Cricetulus griseus: one gene and its partners. The protein of the gene in region 5 interacts with the protein of the main gene of each other region in a pairwise test. Links are inferred from orthologs where the notes say so. Each region holds a gene or a part of one and is shown on either strand. Other genes may lie near its edges. The genes, in order: Stx4, Stx5, Stx6, Stx16 and Napb.

What was found.
Region 1: the proteins of Napb (region 5) and Stx4 interact in binary tests that used the Homo sapiens proteins (3 or more experiments, as listed by UniProt). The two-hybrid records come from large-scale screens. The link is inferred for Cricetulus griseus from reciprocal best matches to the Homo sapiens genes NAPB and STX4.
Region 2: the proteins of Napb (region 5) and Stx5 interact in binary tests that used the Homo sapiens proteins (3 or more experiments, as listed by UniProt). The two-hybrid records come from large-scale screens. The link is inferred for Cricetulus griseus from reciprocal best matches to the Homo sapiens genes NAPB and STX5.
Region 3: the proteins of Napb (region 5) and Stx6 interact in binary tests that used the Homo sapiens proteins (3 or more experiments, as listed by UniProt). The two-hybrid records come from large-scale screens. The link is inferred for Cricetulus griseus from reciprocal best matches to the Homo sapiens genes NAPB and STX6.
Region 4: the proteins of Napb (region 5) and Stx16 interact in binary tests that used the Homo sapiens proteins (3 or more experiments, as listed by UniProt). The two-hybrid records come from large-scale screens. The link is inferred for Cricetulus griseus from reciprocal best matches to the Homo sapiens genes NAPB and STX16.

The regions. Positions count from the first base shown.
Region 1 is NC_048596.1:72,932,669-72,936,912, forward strand, and holds the start of Stx4 (syntaxin-4), read right to left. Parts: upstream 2,803-4,244; 5' UTR 2,672-2,802; coding exon 2,642-2,671; intron 2,481-2,641; coding exon 2,379-2,480; intron 2,323-2,378; exon of another isoform or gene 2,301-2,322; coding exon 2,201-2,300; intron 2,060-2,200; coding exon 1,985-2,059; intron 1,124-1,984; coding exon 1,053-1,123; intron 1-1,052. UniProt on the Homo sapiens protein: Plasma membrane t-SNARE that mediates docking of transport vesicles. Necessary for the translocation of SLC2A4 from intracellular vesicles to the plasma membrane.
Region 2 is NC_048596.1:51,355,568-51,359,551, reverse strand, and holds the start of Stx5 (syntaxin-5), read left to right. Parts: upstream 1-1,173; 5' UTR 1,174-1,319; intron 1,320-1,486; exon of another isoform or gene 1,487-1,995; 5' UTR 1,996-2,017; coding exon 2,018-2,242; intron 2,243-2,585; coding exon 2,586-2,656; intron 2,657-2,817; coding exon 2,818-2,873; intron 2,874-3,091; coding exon 3,092-3,162; intron 3,163-3,984. Other genes in the region: Wdr74 (WD repeat-containing protein 74), read left to right, coding at 114-290; testis-expressed protein 54-like, read left to right, coding at 487-565, 696-907. UniProt on the Homo sapiens protein: Mediates endoplasmic reticulum to Golgi transport.
Region 3 is NC_048598.1:36,564,150-36,567,660, reverse strand, and holds part of Stx6 (syntaxin-6), read left to right. Parts: intron 1-2,500; coding exon 2,501-2,626; intron 2,627-3,511. UniProt on the Homo sapiens protein: SNARE promoting movement of transport vesicles to target membranes. Targets endosomes to the trans-Golgi network, and may therefore function in retrograde trafficking.
Region 4 is NC_048599.1:5,006,098-5,010,387, forward strand, and holds the start of Stx16 (syntaxin-16), read right to left. Parts: upstream 2,803-4,290; 5' UTR 2,513-2,802; coding exon 2,381-2,512; intron 750-2,380; exon of another isoform or gene 89-749; intron 1-88. UniProt on the Homo sapiens protein: SNARE involved in vesicular transport from the late endosomes to the trans-Golgi network.
Region 5 is NC_048599.1:30,297,772-30,301,718, reverse strand, and holds the start of Napb (beta-soluble NSF attachment protein), read right to left. Parts: upstream 2,810-3,947; 5' UTR 2,800-2,809; coding exon of another isoform or gene 2,726-2,799; coding exon 2,628-2,725; intron 1-2,627. Other genes in the region: Cstl1 (cystatin-like 1), read left to right, coding at 2,724-2,799. UniProt on the Homo sapiens protein: Required for vesicular transport between the endoplasmic reticulum and the Golgi apparatus.

The DNA of each region.
Region 1 (4,244 bases), on a different chromosome or scaffold from region 5:
ATTATGTGCCTTCATCTGTGGTATCCAAGGAGGTGGAGGGCCTCTTCCTAGAGCTGGAGTTACAGATGGTTGTGAGCCACCTGACATAGGTCACAGCTGGGAACAGCTGAATTCAGTTCCTCTGCAAAAGTGGTGTGTGCTAAGCCATCTCTCCAGTCCCTACATCATACGTTAATATATGTCTTTACTGTGTATGCACGGGGCAGGGCATGTGTGCCATGGCACATGTGTAGAAATCAGAGGACAACTCCCAGGAGTCAGTTCTCTGCACCCCATGGACCTGGGGCTGAATTGGGTTATAAAGCTTAGAAGCAGACACCTTTACCCACTGATCCGTCTTGCAGCCCCTCGCCATCTCTTAAATTCTATCTATGGGGCCAAGGATGTCCTTGCTTGTCATTTTAACTTACATTTATTTATCATTTATTTATTTATTTTTGGTTATTCAAGACAGGGTTTCTCTGTAGATCAGGCTGGCCTCGAACTCAGAGATCCGCCTGCCTCTGCCTTCACACTTGGCTCTTATTATTATTCTTTGATTTATGTGCATTGGTGTTTTACCTACATGTATGTCTATGTGAGAGTGTTAGATCCCCTGGAACTGGAGTTACAGATGGTTGTGAGCTGCCATGTGGGTGCTGGAAATTAAATCTGGGGCCTCTGGAAGAGCAACCAGTGCTCTTAATTACCATTTTTTATTTCTCTCTCTTCTTCCCTGAACAAAGCTATTAGTGACCAAGTCCTACATGAGAAATATCTTTGTTCCCTTTTCAGTCCAAATTCCCCATTTCAGTTTTGGGAAAATATGTCTCTCATAGCCAGGACAGAGTCATGTCTGACATAGCAAATTCTCTTTGAATGGCGGTGGCATGGTGTTATAATGGATTGAGAATTTTGTGACTGGGATCCTCTACCTAGACCAAATAAGCATAAAGGAAATTCATCAGGACAGAGATCCCAGATTCAACGGTCTGTAAGGGTTGCCCAGTCACCAGTTAGTAATCTAAGAAACACTTGATGAAATGTCCTAGTTCTAGGAAAATGAAACCAACCTGGGTTTTTTTCATTCTTGTGTTGACTGAGTTATAATTCTCATCAGCTTCTTCCTTCTGAGGCTCTATGGCTGTGGGAGAAATACGAGGGTTGATGGAAAGAAAAGCTTGCCCTGAGACTTCTAAAAATTGGCTGGGAGGCTAACTGATTTCTGTCTGGGCTAGCCTGATCTACCTACTGAGTCTCAAAAAATAATTAAAAAATTGAAAATACATAATAAAAAATTTTAAATGAATCAAAAAAAATTGTTTGGGTACCAGAATACAGGGCCACATCTACATTCCAGCCACATAATAAGGAAGTTCTTGTCTTCGTAGGATTTTTTTTTACAAAGTGACTTATGAGCAGGGATATATTTTAGTAGTGACACATGATGGAGGAGGAAGGGGGAGGAGGAGGAAAAAAGAAGGAACTAGGAGGAAGAAGAAAGAAGGAAGAAGGGGGTGAGATCAGCCAACTGGACCTGGTTACGGCAGGCCTTTAATCTCAGCATTCAAAAGGCAGGGAAAGATGGATCTCTGTGAATTTGAGGCCAGCCTGGTCTACATAGGAGGAAGAGGTGAGGGAGGGGGAGGAGGAGGCTAATTCTGATCTTCTAAGAGAAGTTTTTCTTTGTATTACATCAGTGGGTTCCCACAAGAGTGAAGGAGCCTCCTAAGAAACCCTCATCCATCTGCTCAAAGAACACACACTGGGCTTCAAGAACTGTAGCAGCAAGTAGTTTTGAATTTAGATGTAAAAATAGTAATAAAGGAATCTGAGAGGCCAGCATGTAATATATGCAAAGTACCAAGGCTTAGATGCCACAGGGCAGAGATCCTAGACCCAGACCTGCTCTGTGACCTGATATATCACTTGACTCCCCAGATACACGAGCATCAGGGCTGAATCACTGGGGATGATCTGGCTGAGGCCCTTGAAGTTCATTCACCTTTTAGCTGTGCCCGGACCTCTCTCCCCAGCTGTTTGATCTCCTCGCGCAGGTTCTGCAGGCCCTGCTTCATGCCTAAATGAGAGAAGGCCAACACTTCCAAACCACAGCCTCCACCACAAACCAAAACCAACCCCACCCCCGGCCAACATCTATATAGGACTACATCCCCCATAATCCACCGGGCTGGCGTACGTGAACCCGGGTTTCGCTTACTCTCCTCGGGAAGGGGCGTGGCCAGAATGGTGACCTGCTGTTTCTCCAACTCCCGGACTTTACTCTCCAGTTTGGCCATAGTTTGCCGAATTGCCTGGACCTAGAGAGGATCACCAAGGGAACTGAAGACATAAGTGGTACTGTAGTCCTCCCTACTGCTCGGTCCTCCGGGCCTTACCTTCTGGAAGAACTCGTCATCTGGGCTGCCCAGCCGGGCGGTACCTGGGTGCACCACCAGCGCGACTCGAGCCTCATCTTCGTCGTCCGAGCTGTTGTCCCCCTGCCAGGGCCGGAGTCATTGGCACCACTCGCTCGCCGCGGTTCTCGCCCCGCAGGAGCTATGGGCTTCCGGGATTTTCCTTCCTGGCCGTCAGCCACCCCTCCCGGACCCCAAACCAGGAGTCCTCAGTCCTGCGCGCCCGCCGGGCCCCAGCTCCTCACCTGCCTCAGCTCATGGGTCCTGTCGCGCATGGCGGCCCGAGCGCCCGGTCCCTGGACCTGAGCCCCGAGGGCCTCAAGGTTCTAAGTTTGGAAGTCCTGCACGAGCTCTCTCTCACTTGACACCCCCTTCCTCACCCTGCGAACCCCCAACGCCCCCACGAGCCCCCAGAGGTCCCGCCCCTTTCACCATGCACAGTCGCCGGGGAGAACCCGACCATAGGACCCCCAAAGTTCTACAGGTTGGAATTCCCTTCTCTTCCCCCCATCCTGCTCCCGCAGCCGCAGCCCCGCCCCTCGGGAGGATGACTCGGAGCATGCGCACGAGGTCTTGTCTCTTCCTCGCTAGGGGGAAAAGGCGGAGGTCGGAAGCAGTCGCGGCCGAACGGAAGCGAGGCCGCCTGGATCGAGAGCCCGTCCGCCCCCCCCCCCTTTCTACCGGAACATCTCATATTGGGACTGGAATCTAGTTGCCCAAAGGGTTGGGGATGCGTCATTTGCACGCAGTCTGAGAGCCTCGTATCTCACATCACCCCATGGCGCCCCCTCATCACGTGACAGACCTGGCCCCGCTCCGCCGGCTGCACGCCCGACAGCCGGTCACGTGTCCCGGCGCTGTCAGCGACGTCTCGGACTTCAGTCTCGCGACGTCCCCGATACCCCTGAGTCTGAGCTGTACCCCTTGCAGAAGGTGGGGAGGGGTACACCGACAGCTCTCAGCCACCTACAGAGGAGACCCTTGTAGACTTCACTTTCTGTTTTAATTTGGGGCCCTAGGGCGTGGGCGATCTGAAGACTTAAATTTGGGGGCTGTCAGTATCACGAGACCTTGAGAGTCAGAACATAATGAGATCGGAGGCTACAGCGTCAGAGGATTGCAGGGTTTTGTAGGCAGACAATCTGGGGGTGGGAAGTGACCTCAGCCAAGGTGGAACTCTTCCCCCTACACACCCTGCGTCCTCCTGGCACAGCCTCTGACAGGTGGGCGGCCTACGCCCTGTGTGAGCACTGCAGTCCCGCTGAGCTCGCCACCTTCAGATTTCAGAGCAGCTCAGACTGAGAGGAATGTATTGTTACCTCCGCAGCCCTGAAGTCCTAGCATGACTTGCTTTTCTTTTACGGAGTCCCCAGCACCAAATTCAGAGCTTGCTACATAATAGGCCCTCACAGCCTTGATCCGAATAGGAGCCTTTCATGTATCTGAAACTAAAGCCTGTGGCTTCTCTCACCGTCCCATTTCCCCAGGTTTGTCTCTCTGGACATATTTATTGGGCACATACTATAGAGCAGATATGTTTTAGGGGCTGGTGACACATCAGAAGCCAACAGACTAAAACCCCATGCACTTGTGGGGCTGTGATGCTTTTCCCTTTAGAAACTCCTGGATTTGGAAATGAGGGGGTGAGGATAATATGGCCCTGACCACCCCGCAGAGGGATGCGGTGTTGGTGGGCTTCTCAGGAGGCCCAGCTCTGCCTAGTGTGGTCCCCTGAAAATAATGTGGAGAAAAGTGCCTACTGTGGGGCCTGACTTTCAAGGTGTCATGATGCTGTCAGCCCCCAAATGGAAGTCTTCAGTTTGTCCATGCCCCTGGGGAACCCCCCAA
Region 2 (3,984 bases), on a different chromosome or scaffold from region 5:
CCAGAACACAACTGCACTGGTTTCTAGGTCAAAGTAGTGGTGTCCAGAGAAATTATTTTTCTGCCAATCTCTTTCCTTGTCCCTGATTCCTGAGTTTCTTTCTCACTCATCAGGATGAGCCCCAAGAACCTCAAGAGCCCAACATGGTACCCCCAGAAGACACAGAGACAGATGAACTTTGGGCATCTTTGGAGGCAAATGCCAAGCGGAAGCTCCCTGATTTAAATCAGATACAAGGGACTCTCCAAACAAGAAAAAAAAAGAAGCGGCCTGGATCCTCCAGTCCTTGAAGACTTTTGCTATTTTGTTAATAAACAGCCCAACACACACAGAGACCCTGAACCTTTTGTGATGGGAGAAAGGAGAGGTGGCTTGTGGGTGGGAGGGGTTCCCTCACCCGGGCTGTGGGAGACCTGACGTCACAAAAGCTGGGTCCAGAGCTAAGCAGGCTGGGGAGGGTGGCAGAGTCCTGCGCCTCTCGGGGCCATGGGCTGCTGTCAAGACAAGGACCATCAGACCTCTGATGAGCATGCAAGGGAGGAAGTGACCGACGAAGGTAGGCAAGGTAGGCCCAGATTCAAAAAAGGGTCAGGGAGCTGGATTGGGAATGGGAGTGGGAGGTGCCCAGAATGGACGGCCTAAAGAGACTGGACTAGAGAGGAGAACTGAACTAAGTGGCCTCGTGGCCCTTGCAGACAACGAAGTCAATTTGGACAACGCAGGCCGCCGCAAACAAAGATCTAACGAAAGTCTTCTGATCACCGTGCTGTGGCGCAGGCTATCCATGTTCAGCCGTCGGGGGTCCTCACGGTCAAGCAAGAGGCTCTCAGACCTGACTCAAAAGCAGGAGAGTCAGATCCAGGAGCGCAAACGTGAGGGAAGCCACAAGGAACCAGAAAAGGGCTGACTCCAATCCTGCTCTCGTCCTCCCCAACATCCAGAGAATAAAATTAATATTGTGGATCTGCCGAAAACATGCCTCTGCCTCCACATCTGTAGGCGCCGAGGCGCTGGCTCTTTAAGACTCCTCTGGCCCAGCCCTCTGGGATCTGTTTCTGCTCTTCAGGGGCGGGGCCACAGCGGCAGTTTAACCAATAGGAGAGCGGAGTCGAGCATGCAAGGGCAGAGGTGTGTTCTTCCTGTCTCTGGGCTTAAAAAAATAGGCGTGGCGCGGCATCACGTCACGGGGGTGGGGTTACGTGTGGGTGACGTGGCGGCTCCTGCTCTTTGCTCCGATTTGGGTGGCTTACAAGTCCAGCGAGGAGGCGGCGACGGCCTGGAGAGAGTGGCAGTGGCGGCGGCGGTAGGCAACAGAGGAGGTAGGGCTTCGTTGGGGTAGGGGGCCAGTTTCTGTCGGTCGTCTCAGCTCGGGGGCAGCGGCTTGACGGTGGGGGAGGGGGGAGAAGGGAGCCATGGGCAAGCCCTGCTGGCGGCTCCGCGTAAGCGAATACCTTGCTGTCCAATCAGGAAAGGCCTTGTTGAGAAAGACGCCGGCCCTGTCCAATCAGTGGCTGCAGTCTTCCAACAGGCGGAACTTTGATGGAGGTGGGACTTCCTGTTTCAAATAAACACTTAAAGAGGTTTTCCCCCCCTCCGCCCACCGAAGTGTGTCCACCTTTGGAGGTCGGTTGCCGTTTTTCCGTGAGGGAGTTAAGGAAGTCACGTATACCAGAGGGCACGATTAAGATCTGGGCCAACTGCAAAGGTCTGGCTGGAGGCTCAGGGCCGCAGGACCAGGCTTTGGCTGTTTTCTCGACTTTAGGGCCCCAGCCGGTGCTTTGGCCGTCAGAGCCAAGTTGGAAGGAGATTCTGAGGAGGCTTCGCCTTGGGCCTGGAGGAAGCTGACCCTTCTCGCCGTGGCCGGGCTGCAAGATCTACGGGTGGCCTTGGGCTCGAAAGCCTGTCAAATACGGGAAAGGGCCTGAGGATTTGCTAGTTGAGGGGAAAGCTTTGGGGAACGAGGCTGTCTGGAGAATGACATTCTCCTCTCCACAGCAGTCCGAGGTTATGCGACTCGATGATCCCGCGGAAACGCTACGGATCTAAGAACACAGATCAGGGTGTCTACCTGGGTCTCTCAAAGACACAGGTTCTGTCCCCTGCAACTGCTGTCAGTAGCAGCAGCGACATCACTCCTTTGCCCACCCCGGTGGCCCTGGTCCCTTCCCCTCCCGACACCATGTCCTGCCGGGATCGGACCCAGGAGTTCCTGTCTGCCTGTAAGTCGCTGCAGAGCCGTCAGGTAAGGACCTGGAGTGGAAAGGCAGGTGTGAGCCTAATTAATGCTTACGTTTTGTCTGCTAGTTGTCTAAATTTACTTTACAACAAAGATTAGCGAATCTTACCAATAGGAGTGGAGGAATTGTCTTCAGCAGGGATTAAGAAAAGATTAAATACCACGAACGATGAGTCAAGATTTAAACCTACATATAATTTTTTTTTCTTAGCTATAAACCACTGATAAATTTAGATTGTCTGATGCCAACAGCACTGGAGTGTTTAGTGGATATGTGAGGGAGCAGTGAAAAGCTGAGCATGAATAGTGAAGAGAACTAAAGTATCCACTTTTTGACATTACCTTTCAGAATGGAATCCAAACAAATAAACCAGCTCTACGGGCTGCCAGACAACGCAGTGAATTTACCCTTATGGCCAAGTGAGTTAAGAGAGTCTTTGGGGGGGGGTGGTAATACAATGTCTAGGAAGTTAATTTGCCTGTGTTGGTTAGGCTGAATGGGATTGGTTGTGTTGGAGCTTATGGGAATTAGCCTCTTTCCTGCCCTTTACCACAGCCTTCTCACTGATGATCATTTGCAGGCGCATTGGAAAAGATCTCAGCAATACATTTGCCAAGCTGGAGAAGCTAACAATCTGTGAGTGTTTGGTAGATCTTTCCTAGATGGGACAGTGAAACATAGTACTAGGAAGTGAGGATCGTGCAGTTTTTGTTTTATTTTCTCCTATGGTGCTGGGGATTTTAAACTAGGACTTTGTGCATTAAAGCAAGTGCCTCTACCACTGAACTGTATTCTTAGCCCTTTGAGCCTTGTTATTACCATCACCTGTTGTAACACTTCATCTGTCTCTGCAGTGGCAAAGCGCAAGTCCCTCTTTGATGATAAAGCAGTAGAAATTGAGGAGCTAACATACATCATCAAACAGGTGAGCTGCTAGCCATCAGGAGAGCCCAGCATTCTAATTAGATTACTTCCATCATTTTCCATCGCCATGAATCCCCAGGGTAAGTATCTAGACCCATGTCCAAACACCCTGCTCCTCCACTGAGTCCATAGACACTTAGGATCATCTAGCATTTGTAAAGTACTGTTCTGTATGCTGATGGAACAAATGAGAAGCAAGATTATTGTCTTTAAGGGTTCATTCTTCTTAAGAGTTACCCAGCATCAGGAGCCTAGGCTTAAAATGAGTAAGTGATAGTATAGAAAAGATTTTACAAAAAGATGAATGAAATAGTATGCTGGGAAAGATTGACAGAGGATATGAAATCTGAACTGGATTCGGAGGTTATATAGAGGAAATAGAAGGACTTACCAGTCTGAGGAGTTTATTTACAGAGGTGTTGATTAGAAAAGGGGGAAGGTCAGCTGAGAGTAGTGATGAACACCTTTAATCCCAGCACTCTGGAGGCAAAGGCAGGCAGATCTCTGAGTTCTAGGCCAGCCTGGTCCACAGAGTGAGCTCCAGGACAGCCAGAGTTGTAAGTTTATTCTCTATAATTACCTTACGTTTGTTTGATTTCATTCCCTGTATCCTTTCTACTTTTCTAAAAGAGAAGGAAAAAACAAAGGGGCAGGGCAAAAGATTTGCAGATACCTCAGGAGCAGGTTCTTTGTTTTGGTTTCAAGACTCTAGATATATAGCCCAGTCTGGTATTTTTGTTTAAGTCAGGGTTTCTCTGTATATCCCTGGCTGTTCTGGAACTTGCTGTATAGACTAGGTTAGTCTTGAACTTAGAGATCCGCC
Region 3 (3,511 bases), on a different chromosome or scaffold from region 5:
CATAAAATATATTTTGTTCATATTGTTTGCTGAAAGATCGGAGAAGCAGAGCAGCCAGCCACTAGTCTTTACCTCTACCTCAGATTGAAAGGGCGATCCTGCCTCTAGGAATCCTCAGACTGAATGCTAGGAGTTCCTGTCTCCTCCTGCCTTATATTCCTCTGTCCACCCAGCCATATCCCTGCCTGTCTCTACCTTCCTAGTGCTGGGATTAAAGGCATGTGACTGCCAAGTACTGGGATTACAGGTGTGTGCCAACAGTGCCTAGCATCTGTGGCTAACTTGTATGGCTAAGTCTGTGCTCTGATCTCCAGACAAGCTTTGTTAGAGCACAAACAAAATATCATCACACCCCAACTTTCCTTAGCTTTCCCCCTCCTTACCTACTCCATTTCATATTCTTTTTTTTTTTTTTTCTTAAAAAAGCAAAACCAACAGCATGTAGTCCATTTTGTGTTGGTGAACTACTCCTGGGCATATGGGCAACTAGCCCACTTCCTCGTCTCCATGCTGGGATTTTGTCCTGTTTGAACCTGTGCTGGGCTTGTCCATGCTGTCATAGTTGCTGTAAGTTCATATGTGCATCAGCCCTGTTTGTCTAGAAAAATGCTATCTCCTTGGAGTCACCCACCATTTCTGGCTCTTACTATCTTTCCACCTCCTCTTCTCTAGATTCCTGAGCCTTGAGGGGAGGGGTGTGATGCAGACACCCCAGTTAGGACTGAGTGCTCCAAAGTCTTTGACTCTGTACATTGTTTAGTTGTGGGTCTCTGTTAATTACCATCTACTGAAAGAAGAAGCTTTTCTGATGAGGGTTCCCCTATGCACTGATTTTATGGTATTAGCTACACTTTTTAAAGATTCCATTACTCTCAGGGGTGCCACAAGCCAGGGCCCAAGGCTTTACTGCCAGACCTTCGGCAGACATCTAGACAAACATTAGTTTCTAGGCAGCTTTCCTTAATACACACACACACGCACGCACGCACGCACGCACGCACGCACGCACGCACGCACGCACGCACGCACACAGGTCCCCTGCTCCTATCAATTGACCCACACCACCGGCTCCTCCGGCACCTCCTGTGAGCCAGGCATCTGCTAAAGACTCTTAATAACTTACTGTCTTTTTACGGGACTCCAGGCTTCCTGATAATGGCATGGTTATGTTTGAATTTTGATGTAGCCAGGAGGTTGCCTGTGCCCCTAAGATGGCTACAATTTCAAGGCCAGTCAGGTCCACATAGTGTGAGCTCAGCACCAGCCTGGATTATGTAGTGAAACTTTGTCTCAAAACAAATAAATAAATTAAATTGATGTAGATATTTGAGTAATTTTTAACATGTTTCAAATTTAGTTTTGTTTTTTTGAGACAGGGCCTCTCTACATAGACCTGATTGTCCTAGAACTCACTTATATAGACCAGGCTGGCCCTGAACTCACAGAGATCCACCTGTCTCTTGCTTCCCAAGTGTAGGGACTAAATACATGGGCTACCATACCTGGCAGCATGTTTCAGATTAAATCTCTTCATTTAAAAATGCTGGTTATTGATTTCGGGTAGGGGTTTGTTTTGTTTATTTTGAGACAAGGTTTTCCATGCATGTAGCTCTGGATGACCTATGTAGCCCAGGTTGTCCTAAAACTCAAAACAGTCTTCCCGCCCTAGCTTTCTGAGTGCTGGGATTATAGACCCGAGCCATCATGCCTGGTTGTTGAAAGTATTTTAAGAAATTTTGTATAAAAGAAATTCCTCTGGGGGCTGGAGAGACTGCTCTGCCATTCCAAGCACTTGCTGTTCTTCAGAGAACTGAGATTTGAATTCAGCCTTTGATACCTGTAACCCCAGCTCCAGTGCCTTCATTTATGCACATAGCCACATGCAGACACACACTAACATAGAATTCTGATTGTTAAAATATAATTCTTAAAAAATATATAGCTACCACCTGGAACTTAAACTTGAATAAGTTCAGATTTGTTTGAGTTTCTTTTGGTGAGGTAGAATATTCCTTCAAGTCTGTTCTTGTTTGCTTGGGTTTGTTTATGTTGATTTTTTTGTTTGTTTGTTTTCATTGTTCTTATCTATCTCTCCTTTTCATGTTCTTTTTTTGGAACTATAGCTAGGAAAAGCTATTGGTCAGCTTGTCCCATCTACCTTGGACCCTTCAAAGAAGCTAGTGAAAGGCCAAGGTGGCCTTTACCTCATGGGCCTTTGGCAGACACTTAGCTAGACCTTAGCCAGCCTGCCCTAACGCTGCTCCCCACTGCTCCTTCTCATCTTCCCCTAGCTGCTCTCTTTTGGAGCAGAGGCCATCTGTGAGGCTTATCCTGGAGGTCTTGAAGACAGAGAGAGCCCTTCCTGGTGTTGCTCAAACCATTCCACCAGGCAGAAGCCTGCACTGCCACATCAAAGCCTGGTCCAGGTTTGAGGACCATTTAAGTGGCTCAGCAATAGCTTCTGAGTATTTGTCCTAACTGGTTGTCCCTACTCACACAGGCACTGCTAGGAGACAGCAGCAGCCAGAACTGGAATACTGGAGTGACGGATCGATATGGGCGCCTTGATCGAGAGCTGCAGCTAGCCAACTCCCATTTCATTGAGGAGCAGCAGGCACAGCAGCAGGTACCTGAGAACAACCAGTCAAGGACAGGAGGTAGCAGGCAGGGTGCCTCCCCTGACTCTTTGCTAGCCACAGGCTTATTACCTAATGACGAGTAGTAGGTTAGACCTGAGTGAGTCCTATGCTTGGTTGTCCAGCCGTAATGATTGTATGAACTGTTTAAAGTCTTGAGAGCATGGGACCCCAAAGAACTAGACTTGATCAGATCTCAGGAAATGCAGAGCTGACATCAAAACTGACAAGGCCAAGGGTTTGTGCAGGTTTTGTTTTAGTTGCTGTTTTGAGATGGGTTCTCACTGTATAGCTTCGATGGCAGGCTGGCCTCCATCACGGAGATTTGCTTGCTTCTGCCTTCCAGGTGCAGAGTTTAAAAATGTATGCTACTCCCAAATAAGGCCAAAGATTAAAAAAAAAACAATTCCTCTTCCCCTTTGTACATTCAGGTTTTTGTTTATTTTAATAAAGATACTTTCAGGAACATTGAGGTTTTGTTTTTTCCATCGAAAGTTGTTAATTGGAGATATATATATATATATATATATATATATATATATATATATATATGAAATCAGTTGCTTTGATGGAAGTTAGGTATAAAAAGAAAATGAACTTGTCTCCATGTTGTTACATCTATTATTTGTGTATTTATTTTTATTGTTTTATTGAGGCAGAATCATGCTGTGTAGTCCAGGCTGGCCTTGAACTCATGGTTGTTCTGCCTCAGCTTCATGTGTGTTGAGCTCTTAGGCCTGGATCACCATGCCAGTTTGTGTTCTTGCTTTTATAGATAGCAATTCTAGTAAAAGGAAGCTAACAATTAAATTATGTATCAGGATATGAGAATCACCTGTCCATTGAAATTTTGGTTCATAAATACCATTTTCATG
Region 4 (4,290 bases), about 25 Mb from region 5:
CTAGGCTATTTTTCCCCCTCTCCATGAGGTTGCATAAAATTAAGACATAAAGAACAGGAGACTCTTATTAACATAACGGAAGACTCACCAGCTGTATTCATTCCGCTGCCACTCACTATGTCTCTGTTTATTTCTGGAGACCCTTTCTTTTCAAAAGCCATGTTAGAATGAACCCATCTCCATGCTGAGATTTTTTTTTTTTATTTCTATGTAATATTATGTCTTTCAGTTTACAAGTAAAAACCCTTCAATATAAATGTAAACAAAAGCCCCTGCCCCCTTGGGGGGCAATTTCCTATGCCTTGTGACCAAGTTCATACACCTAACCCCCCCAAAACGGCGCCCGCGGCGCACACGGCTTCAAATACCTTTTCTGTGAATAATATGGCCAAGCATAATTTCCACGGTGACTTAAAAATTTTTTCATGGTGACTTAAAAAGGGGACAATTGTCTTGGCAACACATTGACAATCACGACACAGAGCTTAATTTTTCATTATCACTTTGATAAACGATAAAAGAAAAAAATTAAAAGGCAATCCAGCATCTAAAAGGTGGGAAAGGCGCAGGGTTTCACACATTGCATTTCAAATACAACTTCCTAAGGGCTTGGGGTGACTGTGCATTCCCCTATGCTCCGACTCAAACCTCCCTTTTCAATTAAGGTTATTATAAATACTCATCTGACGCCCATTCACATCCAACCTCTATTTGACAGGGAGGTAGACTGAGGCTCAGGAAGTCAAAGCCTGCATCAAAAACAAACCAAATACAGCAATCTTTCTGGAACACTGCTTTGAAAAAGAACAACAACAACAAACCCCACTACTGCTGGAGCAAGTGAAGCTCCGGTCAATAAAATCAAAAGCTGGGTGCTATTTTGGGGGGTTAATTTTCACATCACATCATGTTTTTAAAAAAGTTCGAATGGAGGGGAAGCTTAATTTCCTGTGTGGGAAATGGAAGGGCCGAGCACCTTGCAGTCTCACCAGCACGAGCCCAGGAAAAACAGCAGCACAATTATTCCTGGGGGGGGCGTGGCTACACAGAGGACTGGGGCCATTTGAAGAAAAATTGTGAGAAGAGAAAATGAGTACACACCCCCTCCACAACACCCCCCCACAACACACACACACACACACAATACACAACCACACCCACACAACACACCCCCACAACACCCCATTCCCACAACACACACCCCCAACACACAAATCCCCATCCCCACACCCCCCAACACACACACACACCCCAACACACACATCCCCATCCCCAACACCCCCCCAACACACACCCCATCCCCAACACACCCCCCCAACACACACCCCCAACACACACATCCCCATCCCCAACACACCCCCCAACACACACATCCCCACACACACACACCCCCAACACACACATCCCCATCCCCAACACCCCCCAACACACACATCCCATCCCCAACACACCCCCCAACACACACATCCCCCAACACACACATCCCCATCCCCAACACACACCCCCAACACACACATCCCCCAACACACACCCCAACACACACACATCCCAACACACACATCCCCATCCCCAACACCCCCCCAACACACACATCCCCATCCCCAACACACCCCCCAACACACACACCCCATCCCCAACACCCCCCCAACACACACATCCCCATCCCCAAACACCCCCAACACCCACCCCCAACACCCCCCAACACCCACACCCCCAACACACACACCCAACACCCCCACCCCCACCCCCACAACACCCCCATTCCCACAACACACACACACACACACACACACACACACACACCACAACACACCCCCAATACACACACACACACACACACCACAACACACCCCTAATACACACACACACACACACAACACAACTCCCTCCTGGGTGGGGGTGGGGGGAGAGTTCCCTTTGCAAGGGTTTGAGTCAGCTAACCAACCACCTGACCCAAAGAACCAAAGTGAAGCCATTGCAGGAGGTGTGTGTAGGGGGGGAGAACTCCAAACAAAACAAAACAAAACAAAAAGAAGGTTGGAGAAAGGCCTAGATTCCAAGTCCTCGTGGTTAAAACACATGTAAACTGAAGCTGCCTGTCGTGCTGTGACACTGAGGACTGAGAGGCCATGGAGTGAGTGAGTAAGGCAGAGCAGGGCTTGATACTGTGGTCCCCTTTGGGGGTCGTAGGTGCCCCATGACCCCTGACCAGGGAGCCCTTCCACTTAAGTATCACTCCTAATCGTCGTCGTTTTGTTCTTTTTCTTCCTTTTTTTTTTTTTTCTCTCTCTCTTTTTAGACAGACAGACAGAGACAGACAGACAGGCAGAGCCGCAGTGCACACGGTGTGTGTGTCTGGAGAGGCCGCCGGGAGACTCACCGCAGCAATGCTACGTGAATGCAGAGGGCTGGAGGTGGTGTGACTACTCACTTGCTCGGCTAACAGCTGCCGGTTTTGGATGGAATTATTCCGCAACAACAAGAAAGCGTCGGTTAAACGCCTGGTGGCCATGTCTCACCTCTGTGACCCCCCCTCTCAGGGTCCCCCACCCCCTTATAGTCTTGATTTTTTTCTTTCTTTTTTTTTATTTTCTTTCTCTCACGCTAGCCTGGCTGGTCCACCCTTTCTTAGAAACCTCTCTTGACAAGGCCTCAGGCCACAAAAAAAAAAAAAAAAAAGGTGCAATTTTGCGCTCCGCCAAAGCGCAGAGACCCCTCCCCAAATAACCACCTAGGCTTTCCAATTGTCTGGCTCCCCCTACCCCAGCCCTGGCTCGGATCTCTAAGCACTAGAATCCCCCCAATCCTAGCATAGAAACCGAACGTCCTGGAGACCCCTCCCCAATCCAGCGGCGGATCTGCAAGCGTCTAACCCACCAATCAGGAGGGAGCGTGCACAAGACCCCTGCCCACTCGCTTCCTGAGACTGCCCCTGACGTCTGGGCCTCGAAACACACTCGCTTAGCGCCTGCGTGTCTGGCATGTGGCTCTAACTCCGAATTTTGGTCAACTCTCCTCACAAAAGGCCTGCTCCAGCCACGAGCAGGCCTGAGCCCAGGACTCCAAGCGAGCGTCTGCAGCTCCCTCCGAGTCCTCAGAGCCTCCCAGGGCTCAGGGCGACCCGACCCCTGCTTCCCCGGAGGCCCGCAGGCTGCAGGCCTCCCTCCACCAGGACCTCACGGCCTGCACCCCGGCCTCCTCACTCCTCCTGGCCGGCACCCTCCATCCCGGGATATGGCTGCAACCCTGCCCCAGGGCCGCTTCCGCGTGTGGTCCCGGGCTCAGCGTTCCCCAGCCCTCTTCCTGTCCGTTCCTCGCGGGTGCCCCCCTGCGATGTTCATGAGGATTGTTTGTAACGTTCCGGGAGAGGGATCTCCCTTGTTGCCCTGCCCCAGGGGTGGGAGCGCCCCGCCCTCTCTGGGGTATTTCCCGGGGTGCCCTGTTTCCCTCTTCCTAAGTGTGTGCAGACTCTGGGACAGGCATCCTGGCCCAAAGAAAACTTCAAAAACTTGGCCCTGGAGCCGAAAATCACTGCTGGGGTCCAGACAACTGTAAACTTCTAGTAGAACTGCCAAGCAAACAAGAGTGTGGCTCTAGCAGAGCCTAGTCCTGCGCGGGGGCGGAGGAAAAGGCAGGAGACAGTGCCTCTGCAGGCCGGGCACGCTCCACTGCAGGCTGCTGGCGCTGCTGAGATGGCTGTGCCTTTTTCTTTTCTTTTTTTTTTAAAGCTGAAAAAAAAAAAAAAAGAGAGAGAGAGAGAAAAGAAAAGTATCCAAAAAACAACCAGGCGAGAAAAAGGAACAGGGAGGAAAAAAAAAATCTTGAGTTCCACGCCTTGCTGAGGACAGTCAGGGGGACGTCGACCCCCACCCTTAGGTGCCACACTCCGTAGGGGACACTGCATCGTTGTGCTTGCCAGGGAGGTTTCTGCTAACTGGGAGACCCTCCCTCACTCTCACTCCCCCCAAAAGAGCTTTGTGTTGCTGCTATGCCTGCCTTGCATCGAGCTGGGCCTTCGGGTCGCCTGCCAGTCCGTGGAACCATGCATCTGGCTCACTGCTACTCTGTCTTGGCTTAGGGGGACTCGCCGAGGGGCCCCCTAGGGCTGCTCCAGCCGCATCCCTGGAGCAGAGCGACCCACCGGCAAGCCCGGGTGACAGATCTGCATCTGCAGCGCGGATTCCTGGGGTGCAGCCTTGACCCCAGCTTTGGGGCTGGCTGCATTGGGAACACCTTGGTCACACTTGGGGTTCGGGCGAGGCCAGGCATTGGAGCCCCGGATGCCTTTCC
Region 5 (3,947 bases):
CCATTCTTGTGACTATCCATGCATATTTCCATCTAAAGCAACAACAGAAAGTTGAGAGTTATGGAACAATACTGAGAACACAGTATTGCCACAAAAGCATTGTGCAGCATATAGAAGATGAACTCAGGCTAGGCTTTAATCTGCAGCTGGGAGATTAACAGTCAGTGACGTGAAACATCTGCAATAAGCTAGATGCCTTTTTAAATGTCTGCCACAGCCTCAAAACATCACCTGTCCATGTCATAAATAGGAACTCTGGTGATACATGGGTGAATTAAAACATGTGATTATTAATTCTCCATTAGCCTGAGGGTCTCACATGGGGATAGATGACACTACCATAAACGAAACATAAAACCGGAGGGAGGCAGGGCAGGGCAACAAGTAAAGTGATGACAGATGCATGTAATGTCACATCCACAGGACTCTAAACATCTAAAACTGATGCCAAACCATAGTCTTCCCATGATAACACAAAGAGAACTAGGTCTGGTTTGGAGTTTCAAATACTTACATACTTATAATAAATTTCATGAAGCTCTCTATACTTCTTCCCCTAAGCTTTCCAGGACCAAATGTTAAACCTACCAGTTCTCATGGTACAAAGGACACTTGACCTGGCTAAAACTCTTAAGGTATTTATTTATTAAAAGACAATCGACTAAGTTTTTGGCTCCAAAATCCTACAAAACTCAATCCATCTGCCCTTCCCCTTCCTTGAAAAGAGGAGCTGACAGCTTTGGTGAATATGTGGATAATCATCCGACAGCCAATTCCAACAGCCACAGGCCTAGGTATTTTAAAAATATAAACTCACCGATCACTAATCATGAGATACACGGTGGATTACAGAAGAAGAAACCGAGGCCCAAAGAAGCAAAGTTAACCTTTTCCAGGTTCCGAAGCCATGATAATAACTGACCTGCTGCTTCTACCTGAGTACGCTGTAGTAACTCCATGCAAACTGAGTGTGAATGATGGAAGATGAAGTCTTCCCTCTCGGCCTGTCACTGACAGGGCAGCAACAGTCAAAAATGCATTTCTTCAGAAATAGATTCCTCAAAATCCTTTTAGATGACTGCCTCAAGATTTGACCTACTTTCCTCCAAACAACGCACCTCTTGACCAAAAGAAATGTCCGTAACTGGCTCAAGGAAACATATCCTGACGTGAAATTCGTTGTGCATTCAAATCAATCGCCTCCCATGGTGAGGCACTCTGCCATTAAATTTCACACAGTGAATCTCATGTTTTGTGACTCACAGACAGGTATTAGCATTTGGCACCAAATACGAGCAATGCTCCTTGTGCCTTTTAAAGCGGAAACAGAGTATATGTTACAGTTTCAAGCCTCATATCATATGAGAAATTTAGGGCCCAGTAGTGATAAATGCCCTTAGAAGTCCTCAAGGATAGCCTCCTCCTCTGTATCCTGGCAGACCACGCACTGTATCAAAGTGACCCTAAGCATTTCCTGGAGATGGAAATATAACGGGGTTCAAATAAACTGTTACATAATAATGAATATTATAATCAGCAGTCAAATGAACGAAGTTAGAAAAAACAAGTCAAAGCTCACTGGGTGTGTTTTCAGAACTAAGTGTACAAATTGAATTTGTACAGAAATAAAACAGCGTCTCATAATGCCTCAGTTGAGTATGTGCCACTAGTCCTGCCCGATAATTAAAATCTGCTCTTGGTAAAGATCTTTCACTTTCAAATAGGAAAAAAAAAAAAAAATTGAGGCACACGCGTAATTTCTGCCGCTGTCATAAACAGCTGAATCATTCACATAATCAACAGCCCAGAATTCTTTCACAAGCTCTCAGTTCAGGTTCTGCTTTTTGAAAGATCAGAATGTAAAGCCTTCCCGACTACAGCATGTAAGAATTATACGAAATCACGGGATTCCCAAAAGATAATGACTTTAAACAGAGGCAATGAATTTTAGGGTCCATCAAACAAAAGGCCCGGGCTACGGATACAAATCACTCCAGCAAAGGAAAAACACACCATCCGAGAAAATGTTGGCAAGGTCCATGGGCCGGAGACATAGGGGCGCCGACCTCGCGCTCCCAGTGAGCCTCTAGTAGATGCCAGGCGACAAGCTGAATTCCAGGACCTCCTTGTCCTGGCTCCCCCAGGTGATATACGGCCCGGACCAGGGTAAATTAACGAAACCGGTCCTCCAGGAAGGTGACGAACCCGGAGGGACAGCCCGGCGCGGACCCTGTCACCCACATGAGACCACGGGCGACGCGAGGGGTGCCGGGGGGACACAGAAATCTCCGGGGGGCGCGTAGGCGTTCTGAGCTGTTAAAGGGTGCCTGGGGGTAGAGGGCTACGGGTTCTTCGGGCATATGTGTGTGGGTGCCCAAGGCCTGAGGATCCCAAGGTTCTGGGGCTTGCAGTGTGTGCAGACTAGAGTCCCTCAGACATGCCCTGGGGATGCGATGGACCCTAGGGGCTGCGGGACTCAAGGCCGTACGTGGGCCACCTGGATATGTTCTGAAGGCCGTTGGGAACCCAGGAACCCTAAGAGGTTGTGTGGGGCACTCTACGGTGACAGCTGGCTGGGCGGGGAACTGGGCACCAAGACCCCTAAGGGCAAGAACTCTGACGCTCACCCGAACAACCCTCGCAGGAAGGAGTGGGAGGCCTTCACTCGTTTCTCGGCCTCCGCCATCAGCTGGACCGCTTCTCGCTCCTTCCCTGCGTTGTCCATGTCGCCAGCCGCCGCCAAAGCCTCCGCCACCGACTTGCAATGCTCCCGGGACGACTTAACCCTCCCTCTAGCAGGTGCGGGCACGCAGGCGCGGTGCGTGGGGACTGTAGGGATCTGTAGTCCTAGACTCCACCATAGTGGCAGCTGTGTCAGAGGCCACAACTACAATTCCCAGAAAGCTGCTGGGCAGGGCCGGGCAGGAGCCTGTCTTGAGGACCCTGAGTTCCCCGGGCTCCGGGAGGAGGGAGAAGGGGCGTGGCCCTCTGGAGGGGTCTTGGGCCAAGGTGGACTTCAAGGTTTTAAGGAATGCAGAATCAGAAAATTACCGGCAGCTTCCAAGGGAGATAACCTAAAACACGCAGCGTCAGAAATCATTGACCATGACTGAGACGTAGCAATGGATAAACGGTTGACCAGGGCTTGTTAAAAAAAAAAAAAAAAAAAAAAAGCCGGGAACTCTCAGCCTACATGAAGGTACTGCAAAAGGTAATCTAATGCAGTTCAGTGCAATTTCGTCAACTCTGTGGTGCCCCACCTCCCAGCTCTCCCAGAAAAGGAGCAACAGCTGGCCTAAAGAGTTATTTTTAATTTCTGAGAGCAAGACGTTAAAAATGCATCATCTTCCCCAATATAAATTCAGAGTTGCTTTTAAGCGTCCCCAGACTGCAACTTTCTTTTGGTCCTCTTGTTTAGAAATGAGTTGCATATCTTCCATGTAGGCATAATCCACTCATTTTATTGACCGAATTCTATTAAATGGCTATGAGCCAATGAACTCCTTTATCCTTTACATAATGCTGGCCACAGTGGGTGGATCTTGACAAAATTCCTGTCTGCCAGGAAGATTTTTAATCTACTAAATATCCATCGATAGATGCAGTCCTGTGCCAATGTCTTCCAGGCCTGACCCAGAGGGAGCTGTTTTTTAATACAATGTCTAGACCATCTAGGCTTGGCAGTGCTGATGCAGACAGAGGTGGTGAGGCAAATGGGATCACTGCCAAATGAGAGTTTCTGATGATTTAAAACTCTTCATGAAAGCCTGTCTTCAGAGAACAAAGCAAGACAGTTCAAACTCCTTGAAACAATTACCAAAACTGATGTCACAGTGTGACAGGGCCCAACCACTGTAGGATGCTCTCAAGATAGAAGGGAATATCAGTTCTTGGTGCACAGTTTTACTTACCGCTCCTGTGGGCATTCTTCTCATTTTGGAAAACTG